2 linked regions of the Schizosaccharomyces pombe genome follow. The protein of the gene in region 1 interacts with the protein of each later gene in a pairwise test. Each region holds a gene or a part of one and is shown on either strand. Other genes may lie near its edges. The genes, in order: sec74 and eno101.

The links.
Region 2: the proteins of sec74 (region 1) and eno101 interact in a two-hybrid assay, tested with the Schizosaccharomyces pombe proteins (one large-scale study listed by BioGRID).

Annotation. Positions count from the first base shown.
Region 1 is NC_003424.3:5,182,076-5,187,924, reverse strand, and holds sec74 (guanyl-nucleotide exchange factor Sec74), read left to right. Parts: upstream 1-1,765; 5' UTR 1,766-2,216; coding exon 2,217-5,003; 3' UTR 5,004-5,151; downstream 5,152-5,849. Other genes in the region: pnn1 (putative pinin-like protein ppn1), read left to right, coding at 5,297-5,734, 5,803-5,849. UniProt on the Schizosaccharomyces pombe protein: Guanine nucleotide exchange factor for Arf GTPases, stimulating the nucleotide exchange from the GDP-bound to the GTP-bound form. Involved in vesicular transport.
Region 2 is NC_003423.3:2,199,599-2,203,411, forward strand, and holds eno101 (enolase), read left to right. Parts: upstream 1-1,597; 5' UTR 1,598-1,638; coding exon 1,639-2,958; 3' UTR 2,959-3,054; downstream 3,055-3,813. Other genes in the region: securin cut2, read right to left, coding at 3,718-3,813.

The sequences.
Region 1 (5,849 bases):
GAAGTCAACGAATCGTATGAGCCGTTTTATTACAATACACTAAGGAAAGAAGGACGGGGACCTGAAGGAGAAGAGAAACTAGAATAAAAGGCAATAATGTAAATGACAAAAAAAATTTACTTCTACAAACGAATCTATGAAATTGCAATTCTGCAACTTTATGAAATCCAAATAAACCCGATTAATTTGGAAAAAAAAAAAGTCTTAGATTAAGTAAAATTTAACAATTGATCTCAATTGAGTCCTTGAAATTCTTTTCGCAAGCAATTTCGTCTCACAATCGCTCGATTCCAACTTCACTTCCTGTTTAGATGTAGCAAGAAGAAGGTAAGAGGAATTCTACCGCTACCACCAATATTACTGCTTAGTTTACTGCTAACGTAGGAGAATTACTAACGTACTTCGGTAATAAATTTATGACGCCCTCAATGCCAGATTTTCCTTGCTTTACTAATACCGAGAAACATGATTAATTTGCCATTGATGACAGAATGTCCGACTAAGAATTGCCAAGTAGACTTCCACGCCAACGAGCAGTGTTGAGTATGGGAATGGCAATACTAAGTATGAAATGCCGCTACGTTACACTTGGATATTAGTAATTCGAGCAAACTGACCTGCCAATTTTAAGGATGAATGCGTTTCCTTTGAGCTTTATAGCTGGCGAAAATAAGTTTCTACAACTCTTGCAACTGTTACTTATCCATCTCATTTAGGTAGCGTGGCAGCAGGAGCGGAAGAGTGGAAATAGAGAAAAGGTTTGATAGAAAAGATAGTAAAGAAGTACGGTAGGAGATTGACGGAGGAATGGAAGTATTGAGAAAGGTTGAGTTGAATGAATTGTAGAGACGGTAGTTCAAGTGTGCGAAACGCAATTGCTTGATGGTGCTGTAGCTATCATACTTTGTCTTAATAGGTGACCTTTGGAAACTTGAGATCGACGAATCTTCAAATGTAAAATACTAAAGTGGTAGGGAATTCTTAAGTGCGCAAATTCAATATTGTAAGTGAGTCAGTTAGTTTTGCAGATGAACGATAAAAGAAGGGTTTTGCAATTGATAAAACGCGATTTAAGAAAATGACTGCTAAAGAAATTCAATGAAGATTATTGAGTGAACGAACGGTTGTTGAAAGAAATGCTTTTTCTTCGGAAAACCACCAATTCAATTTACATGTCAATTAATTTCATAAACTTACAGTATCTTTAATCATAACCGTTCTGAGTGTGAAAAAAAAATCATAAATAGAGATGGATTTTTCTATTAATATATGCTTCTCAGCAATTACTAATGGAATAAATGTTTTCATCAATTCGAGTTCCCAATATGCAGATTGAAGGGAAATTAAAGGAAATTCAAGAAACAATCTTACTAAAAAAACTTTCAATACTATGTGAATCGAAATTTCGTTTGTACTCCTTTAGAATATTTTTCTTCGCAAGCAATTTTTGTATTTATCCACTACATCTAGCAATGTTTCGCACAATTGGCTTAGAAAGTTCAATTCCTCCTACAAATACTTATTTTCAATGCAATTCTTTATTTTTCATTAATAGTATATAACTTACTATATGTTTTTTCTCTTAATGTTCTTCTTCATCATTTTTTAGTTCTTTCCATCCATTGTTTACATTAGGATTAACTAGTCGATCCACCCCCACATAAGTCCTCTTTTTTATGGGGGCACTTGCCTCTGCGTTCAGTATTACCAATGCCCGCCTCGCTGCGTACCATTGAATCGTTACATCGTTTCTCACTCATCTTCCACAGTCAATATTTACCCCCCTCATCCTATCATTCAAGGCATAATTAGTTTTATTCATTTCTTGTGCTTAGTAGGGAAAAATAGGTTTTTTAAGTCTTTTCCTCTTTACTGCTTTGCCATTCCGTCGTCTGCTGTAATTATACTCTTCAAGAATCGCTCTCTTCTTCCAAAACGAACTGCGGCTATGATCTACGCTTTTATTATTTAAAAACTTCATTTTTCGCTGAAAAGATACTCTTTTATTTTTTTGTTTAGAAAAGAGAACCCTATCAGTTAATCACAATCATCCTGTGCAATTGCTTCTTCATGAAGTTTGATGTCGTTTGTGTTGCTCAGGGTTTTCGAGACGCATTTTTGTTTTCCAGGTTCTGAACTCTTTAATCGTAGGAAATTTTAAAAAAGTTTTTTTTTTATTTCTTTTAATAAATTTAAAATTCCCTTTTTAATAGAACATGGACGAATCTTCTCGTATAGCTTCTTCTTCCGCTTTGCATGGTTTAGATGAGATGGTTTCTGCTCATAAGCCGTCTCCTCCCCTTCCTTCCCGGAGAAAGGGTAAGTCTGCCCTGCGTAGCGCTTTGGAGAAAAAAAATAGAAAGTCCAAATCTAAGCCAAAAGTTACGATCACTTCGGACACCCCCAAGGTCTCCTCTCAACACTCCCCAGTCTCTTCCGCATACACCGGAGATTCGACTACCGATTTGGATTCAAAATCTGGTCACTCCTCTTCCCAGAAACTTTCCAATAAAGTCTCTTCAGCCTTGAAGCTCACCATACCGAAGCGTTGGCGCTCTTCCAAATCTAGCTCGTCACAATGCTCCTCCCCTTTCTTACCAACCTCCTCCTCCAACGGACATGGCGATGATGCATCGTTGAACTTGCCTGATAAAAAATCACGTCCTTCTAGTCAGTCTTCAATCTTTCTTTCCAATTGGTCGACAATCTTTTCCTCAAATGCTAGTCCCACAGATTCGCAGTTATCTCCAACGCATACCTCTACCATCGCTGAGTTAGCTGCTTCTACTCTTTCAATTTTTCCATCCGGCTCTTATGCGGGCTCGACATTCGGATCTCCTTCCCGTTCTTCAATCGACTCCTCTACCTACTTACCTCGTTCGAAGTCTGTAAATTCTCTTTCTTCAAACTTCAGTGCGCGAACGCCGGCTTCAAATCAGTCTAGCGTATCTGAAGATTTTGGTGCTGCACCAAATTGTGACCATAAACATAATTCTGTTACTCTTTCGGATTTCGCACTGCCAGATATAGATCAGCATGACACCGTTGAAACCATCTTGGAGAAGGTGGAATTTACAATTCCTAAGCAGTTTACTCCTGCCATATTGTCGCAGGGAACTTCATCACTTCTAAAACTTTGCCTGAGAAAGTATTTGTCTGTGGTCAACTTCAAATGTATTTCGTTAGACATGGCTCTTCGCAAGTTTCTTGCTGTCTATGTTCTTCCTAATGAGACCCAGCAAATCGATAGAGTTTTGAGCACATTTTCAGACCAATACTTTCATTGCAATCCCGATTTATACGATTCTTCTGATGAATGTTACATACTTACGTTTTCTTTAATGATTTTGCATACGGACTTTTTCAACATCCATAATCGACAAAAGATGACTCGTGCCGAGTTCATCTCTAATACTAATTTGCCAACCATTCTTCCAGAGATATTAGAATGCTTTTACGATAATATTACCTACACTCCATTTGTTCATGTAGAGCATATTGGTTGTGTTGTGACTTCTCCTTCTAATGAAAAACCATCTTTGTCACAAAGACTAGGAGATTCTCAATTTCGTCTTACTAAACGAAACACATTTGCTACCGAAAGTGACCATCAGGCTTTACAAGAACAGTTGACGGGTTTCCGTATTAATCTAGATTCTATATTAGACTTAAAAAAAATTGACAGTGTCCGTACGAGTATTGAATCTCCTACTCGCACTGCTGATGACTTATACAAAGAGTTTGCTAGAGCCCCATTTTTGCAGATCGTCTCGCACCGATCACAGCCCCAAGCGTTTTCTTATCACTTTGAACCGAGTGCAGAAAGCGAAAGCACCAATCCTGCGATAATAAACGTCAAAGTTTTCAAACTTGGCATACTCATTCAAAATGAGAAGGTTCGAAAAGATCGCCTTCTTTCCAACAGAGAGGTGGGTGTCATTTTAACAAGCTCGCAGTTGATGTTCTTCAAAAACGTATATTGGATAAGTGGATTACTGGATCAGTTGGAAGACTTCAAAAGATCTCATTCTTTTTCTCCTTGCTATTTTTCGCCTCATTTAACTTCACTTTCTGCTGATTACATTATCCCATTGTCTGATTTAGTTGCATACGGTGATGGTTCTCGTATAGAAAATGAACTGTATTCCTTCAGTGTCAAGCAAAAAAATCAGAGAACTCATGTCTTTTCTGTTACTAATGTAGACGAATTAAATGACTGGTTGGTGAAGATAAATTTTGTGAGTACGTTTGCTACTGCGGGTCTAGCTCCTCGTGAGAGGCTTCCGTGTGTTGAATCGTCTGATAAGAGCATCAAGGCTTCCGTTAGTGTTCTTCCCGACATATACGAAGATTCGGATGCGATGTCGAAAGCTTCAAAGGAAACCAGGAGTGAAGTATTAGAGTGTTCCAAAGTTCGTGTGTATATTGTGCAAAATAGAATTTATAAATTAGAAGAAGCTTTAAGGCAGGGGGAATCAAAAATGACTGTACAGAGAAGAAATGCTGCCAATATATTACATCTTGAACCTATTCAATCTCGGACCCGAATTCGTTTAGCAAGATGTTCGAATACGTTGAAGAAAAATATGCTAGCCCAGATGATAGAAATTCAGAAATTTAAAATTTCTATTAAATTCTTGAAGGAGGATTTAGAAATGGACAGTCATCTACAGGATTACCTTCGATCTGTTTTCCCGTCTTCCGTTATGGGAAAAGAAAATGCTAGTGAAGATACAATTTTGGAATCTAATTTCCGTAACCACTCAAATCCTAGTGTTCGAAGAAGCAATCTACGAGTTGGTAAGACTGTGGAGTCTGTGCAAAATACGAAATTGAAGTCAGTTGAAAACGACTCTGGAAAAGCAGAAACTGAGACTGTTGGAAAGAATCCTGAGGTAGTTAGGAAATCGCCTGCTAAATTGCCGAATATTGCTAATATAATGACTGTGAATGGACATCGTTACAGTGTTGTTGAACTCCCCGATGATTTTTTGCGTGAGTAGAGCTATCGTTTGACTTTACAAATTCATTTTTTTAACCCCTTAACTCCATCTTTGGCTTCAGTCTTCTTCCAGTGTTTCCATTTAGCATGTATATTACTATTTTCCTTGTCTGAGGATTAATTTTACTAATTTAAATTTTTTGTTCATATTCATCGCTTTACTGTAATTATTGTGCTACTTTTTATATATAATGAAGATTTTGTAAGCGATAATCCTGTTGTAGTGTTAGGACCTTTTACTTCATAAAGTGTAGAGTGCATCGCTAATGACCGACGCAAACTGTAACTAGAGCGATGGATGAGAGGCGCGAGGAATTGTCTGCAAAATCGACAGTGCAAAATGTTAAGATATCGGAAGCTCCAATCTTAGACGGAAAAGTTAATAATGAAGACTCCCATATGGAAATTGATCAGCCAGAAGGCTCAATGGAAGAAGATGACCATCGTCAAGTAAAAGAAAAGAACACCAGTGAAAACTCAGTCGAACAGAAACGAGGAAGAAGGATGTTCGGAGCTTTACTGGGAACTTTGGGCAAATTTCAGCAAGAGTCGGAACGTGAGCAAAAATCTGCAAGGAAAGTTAAACGCGCGGAATTGGAAGAAAAACTTGCGAAAAGGAGAGAGCAGGAGCTTCAGGAATTAGAAAAACAAGAAAAAATAGAAGCCGAAATTCTTGAAAGTCGGTTACAAGAGCAACGCAAAGTCGCTTTGGATGAGCTGGAACTTGATAGGGTAAGCAATTACCATTTCTGGATTTGAAAGACATAATTCAATGCATACTAACTTTCCAATTTATTTAGAATGATTTAAAGAAAGTTCTGGATAACAAAAAATCTTATTATTTACG
Region 2 (3,813 bases), on another chromosome or scaffold:
CGAATATGGACCAACTCGTGACACCGGGATGCTTGCACATCACTACACTTGTGTTTGCTGGTCCGCGTTAACCTTGTAGTGAATAGCATGCTGAGTTTCGCTAACGCGCTGCTCCGTGTCGCTGCTGTGAATCTGATACAGCGAGCGGTTGGTGCAGAGCCAGGAGGATTAGCGTCCAAAAGACGAGACAAGACGAGGCGAGGGACAAGAAATGAGAACAAAGGGAAGAGAAGGGACACAGAGGAAGGATCGACCAAGCAGATGTTTGCAATTGAGTAGTAGTGAATTCAAAAAAAAATTTTTTTAAAGTATTTTATTCTCAATGTTTAAATCCCGTCTGTAATGTGATTCTCAAGTAGAGTGAGTTGATGTGATTCTCTGACCCACCATAACCTAACCTAACCTAACCTAACCTAACCTAACCTAACCTGACCTAACCTGAGCCTGTATATCATTCTCTATCCCATCCTGTCCTGTCTTGGTCGTACTGTCCTGCGCTGGCCTAGTTTGCTTTGCCCTGCCTTGCCTTGCCTCGTTTTGCTCACTCCTTCCCTTCATTGCGCACTCTTGCCTCCCATTGCCCTCCACTGCGATTCTCTTGCAACTGCCTGCTGCACCGACCGCCGCTTCATTGCGATGGTCTGCTTTGCGGCAATTTCCATCCGTGCGGTAATGCCCGTTTCGTTACGTTACCTCTGGCGTGATCGTTAGGGTAGTCAAACTGTGTCCCGTATGGCACCATGAAGTTTCTCCGGATGGAACTATCCTGATGTTTATCTGTCCAACCAATCCATCCTGCAACAAGATTTTCCCCTCCAATCACAACATTTCTCCGGCTTTGCACTTGCTAAACCTTGATGACATCCTACCACTGACATCCGCGAATCAAGGGACCTCTCGGAACAACTGATCTCATGAACCCGTCCGCTTTTGCCTTTATCTGCATCACCCGAACTGGGCGACTGAGGGAAGGGTGGGGCATCAAGTAACGCTCCTTTCTCGGTGGTTTCCTGCACTGAGCAACGAACGGTACATGCAGCGACGAGGTTGTTGTCGCTGACATTCGTCAACAAACATACAAAACGGCTCGCTTCGTGTATTGACGTCCGCGTAATTTCGCTGCTTCTAGCTCCCGACCTTTTCCAAAGATGGCCCTCCTCCAGATTACTCACGTTGTAAGCAACTTTTGGGAACACTGTTGATTACTTGGCAAAAAAAAACACTTGCCATATAGTTGGTTCCTCTTTTGACCACCTACCTAACATTACCTTTCTCTCTCTCTCTCTCTACCAACAACCACACCACACCACCACACCACTCCATACATTACATTACCTTACCACACTCACTTCACTTCATCTCCATCTCTTGCCCCTTCTAAGCTCGCTGGACTCGCACATTGGCTACGGTGGCTCGCGTCGCTCGCTTGGTCGCTCCTTCAACGTACCCTAACGTTCCGGTTAACGATTCTTAAAGAAGCGACCAATTTGTTCCACCGGCTTCTGTGGGCTCAGGGGCATGTCATGGAAGATTGAGAGGATCGGCGCTTCCTCCAGGTATATATAGAGTGGAAGGGCCGTCCGTTAGGACTTGTTTCAGTAAGAATCAATTAGTATTCTACAGTAAACATCGTTAATCATGGCCATTCAGAAAGTCTTTGCTCGTCAAATCTACGACTCTCGTGGTAACCCCACTGTCGAGGTCGACCTCACCACCGAGACCGGTATCCACCGTGCTATCGTCCCCTCTGGTGCCTCCACTGGTATATGGGAGGCTCTTGAGATGCGTGATGGTGACAAGACCAAGTGGGGTGGTAAGGGTGTTTTGAAGGCTGTTGGCAATGTCAACAACATCATTGCCCCTGCCGTCGTTAAGGCCAACCTTGACGTTACCGACCAAAAGGCCGCCGACGAGTTCTTGCTTAAGCTCGACGGTACTGAGAACAAGTCCAAGTTGGGTGCTAACGCCATCTTGGGTGTCTCCATGGCTATCTGCCGTGCCGGTGCTGCCCAAAAGAAGCTCCCTCTCTGGAAGTACATTGCCGAGAACTTTGGCACCAAGGGTCCCTATGTCCTCCCCGTTCCCTCTTTCAACGTCTTGAACGGTGGTTCCCACGCTGGTGGTGACTTGGCTTTCCAAGAATTCATGATCCTCCCCACCGGTGCTCCCTCTTTCTCCGAGGCTATGCGTTGGGGTGCTGAGACCTACCACACTCTCAAGTCCATTGCCAAGAAGCGTTATGGTTCTTCTGCCGGCAATGTCGGTGATGAGGGTGGTATTGCTCCCGATTTGCAAACCCCTCAAGAGGCTCTTGACCTTATTGTTGAGGCCATCAACAAGGCTGGTTACGAGGGTAAGATCAAGATTGGTCTTGATGTTGCCTCCTCCGAGTTCTACGTTGACGGCAAGTACGACCTTGACATCAAGGCCGCCAAGCCCAAGCCCGAGAACAAGCTTACCTACCAACAACTTACCGACCTTTACGTCGAGCTCTCCAAGAAGTACCCCATTGTCTCCATTGAGGACCCCTTCGACCAAGATGACTGGTCTGCCTGGACTCACATGAAGGCTGAGACCGACTTCCAAATTGTCGGTGACGATTTGACTGTTACCAACGTCAAGCGTCTTCGTACCGCCATCGACAAGAAGTGCGCTAACGCTCTTCTTTTGAAGGTCAACCAAATCGGTTCCGTCACCGAGTCTTTGAACGCCGTCCGCATGTCCTACGAGGCTGGTTGGGGTGTTATGGTTTCTCACCGTTCCGGTGAGACCGCTGACACCTTCATCTCCCACTTGACTGTTGGTATTGGTGCCGGTCAACTTAAGTCTGGTGCTCCTTGCCGTTCCGAGCGTTTGGCCAAGTACAACGAGCTTCTCCGTATCGAGGAGGAACTCGGTTCCGAGGGTGTTTACGCTGGTGCCCATGCTGGCAAGTACATCAAGGCTGCTAAGTTTTAAACTCTGAGCATACATTAAATTTTACTAATGTTTACAATACATGTTTATTTTTATAGAATGCAATGAAATTTTTATCCTTTTTGCGTTTTGGATTAATTTGCCAGGTTGCGTGTTTATTTATTATTAGTATTAAAGTAAACTGTTGTTGTAGTAGAAGTAGCTGATATAATTGTTTTGTGCTAATTTGCATCCTTTTTTTTTTTAGATGATCATTTTAGTTTTCGTTTATATAGTGTTTTTTTTTCAATCATCTTAATTTTTTTTGGAATGTGTGCATCTGCTGTAAAACACAGAAATTTGTCTTTGACCTAGTACATATTTTTATGTGTAGCCAAAATTTTTGGATACCTTTGCTCTTTATCAGTCACTTTACTACTACTAACACTGGAAAATGTTCTATTCCTCAGCATCTTACCTACTAGTATTTATAATATTCATCAACGTAGAATGAAAATAACAATATTATTAACATAATTCATCTACATTACAATAGTAAAATATTGAACCAGAAAAGCCAAAAAAAAAAAAGCATATAGAAAAGGAAATCATTTGTACAGAAAAGTCATGAACGAAAAACATGTCATAAATTAAGGACCGTATAGGCTTTATGCATTTAAGTAAAAAAAAAAAAAAAAAGAACAGCATTAAAGTGGTGAAACAAATTAAACAACAAGGGAAATCAAAGCCATCGGAAGAATCATACTTACAATCGTAGAAGCGGAAGCCAGTACGCACAAAACCTGAAAATTCGGAATCTTTTTATAACAATCCTGTATCCAAAGATGAAAAATCAATTCGTGAAGATGATAACGAATGAATAGAACGAGATAAAGGGCGCCGACGGCTATTGCCAGA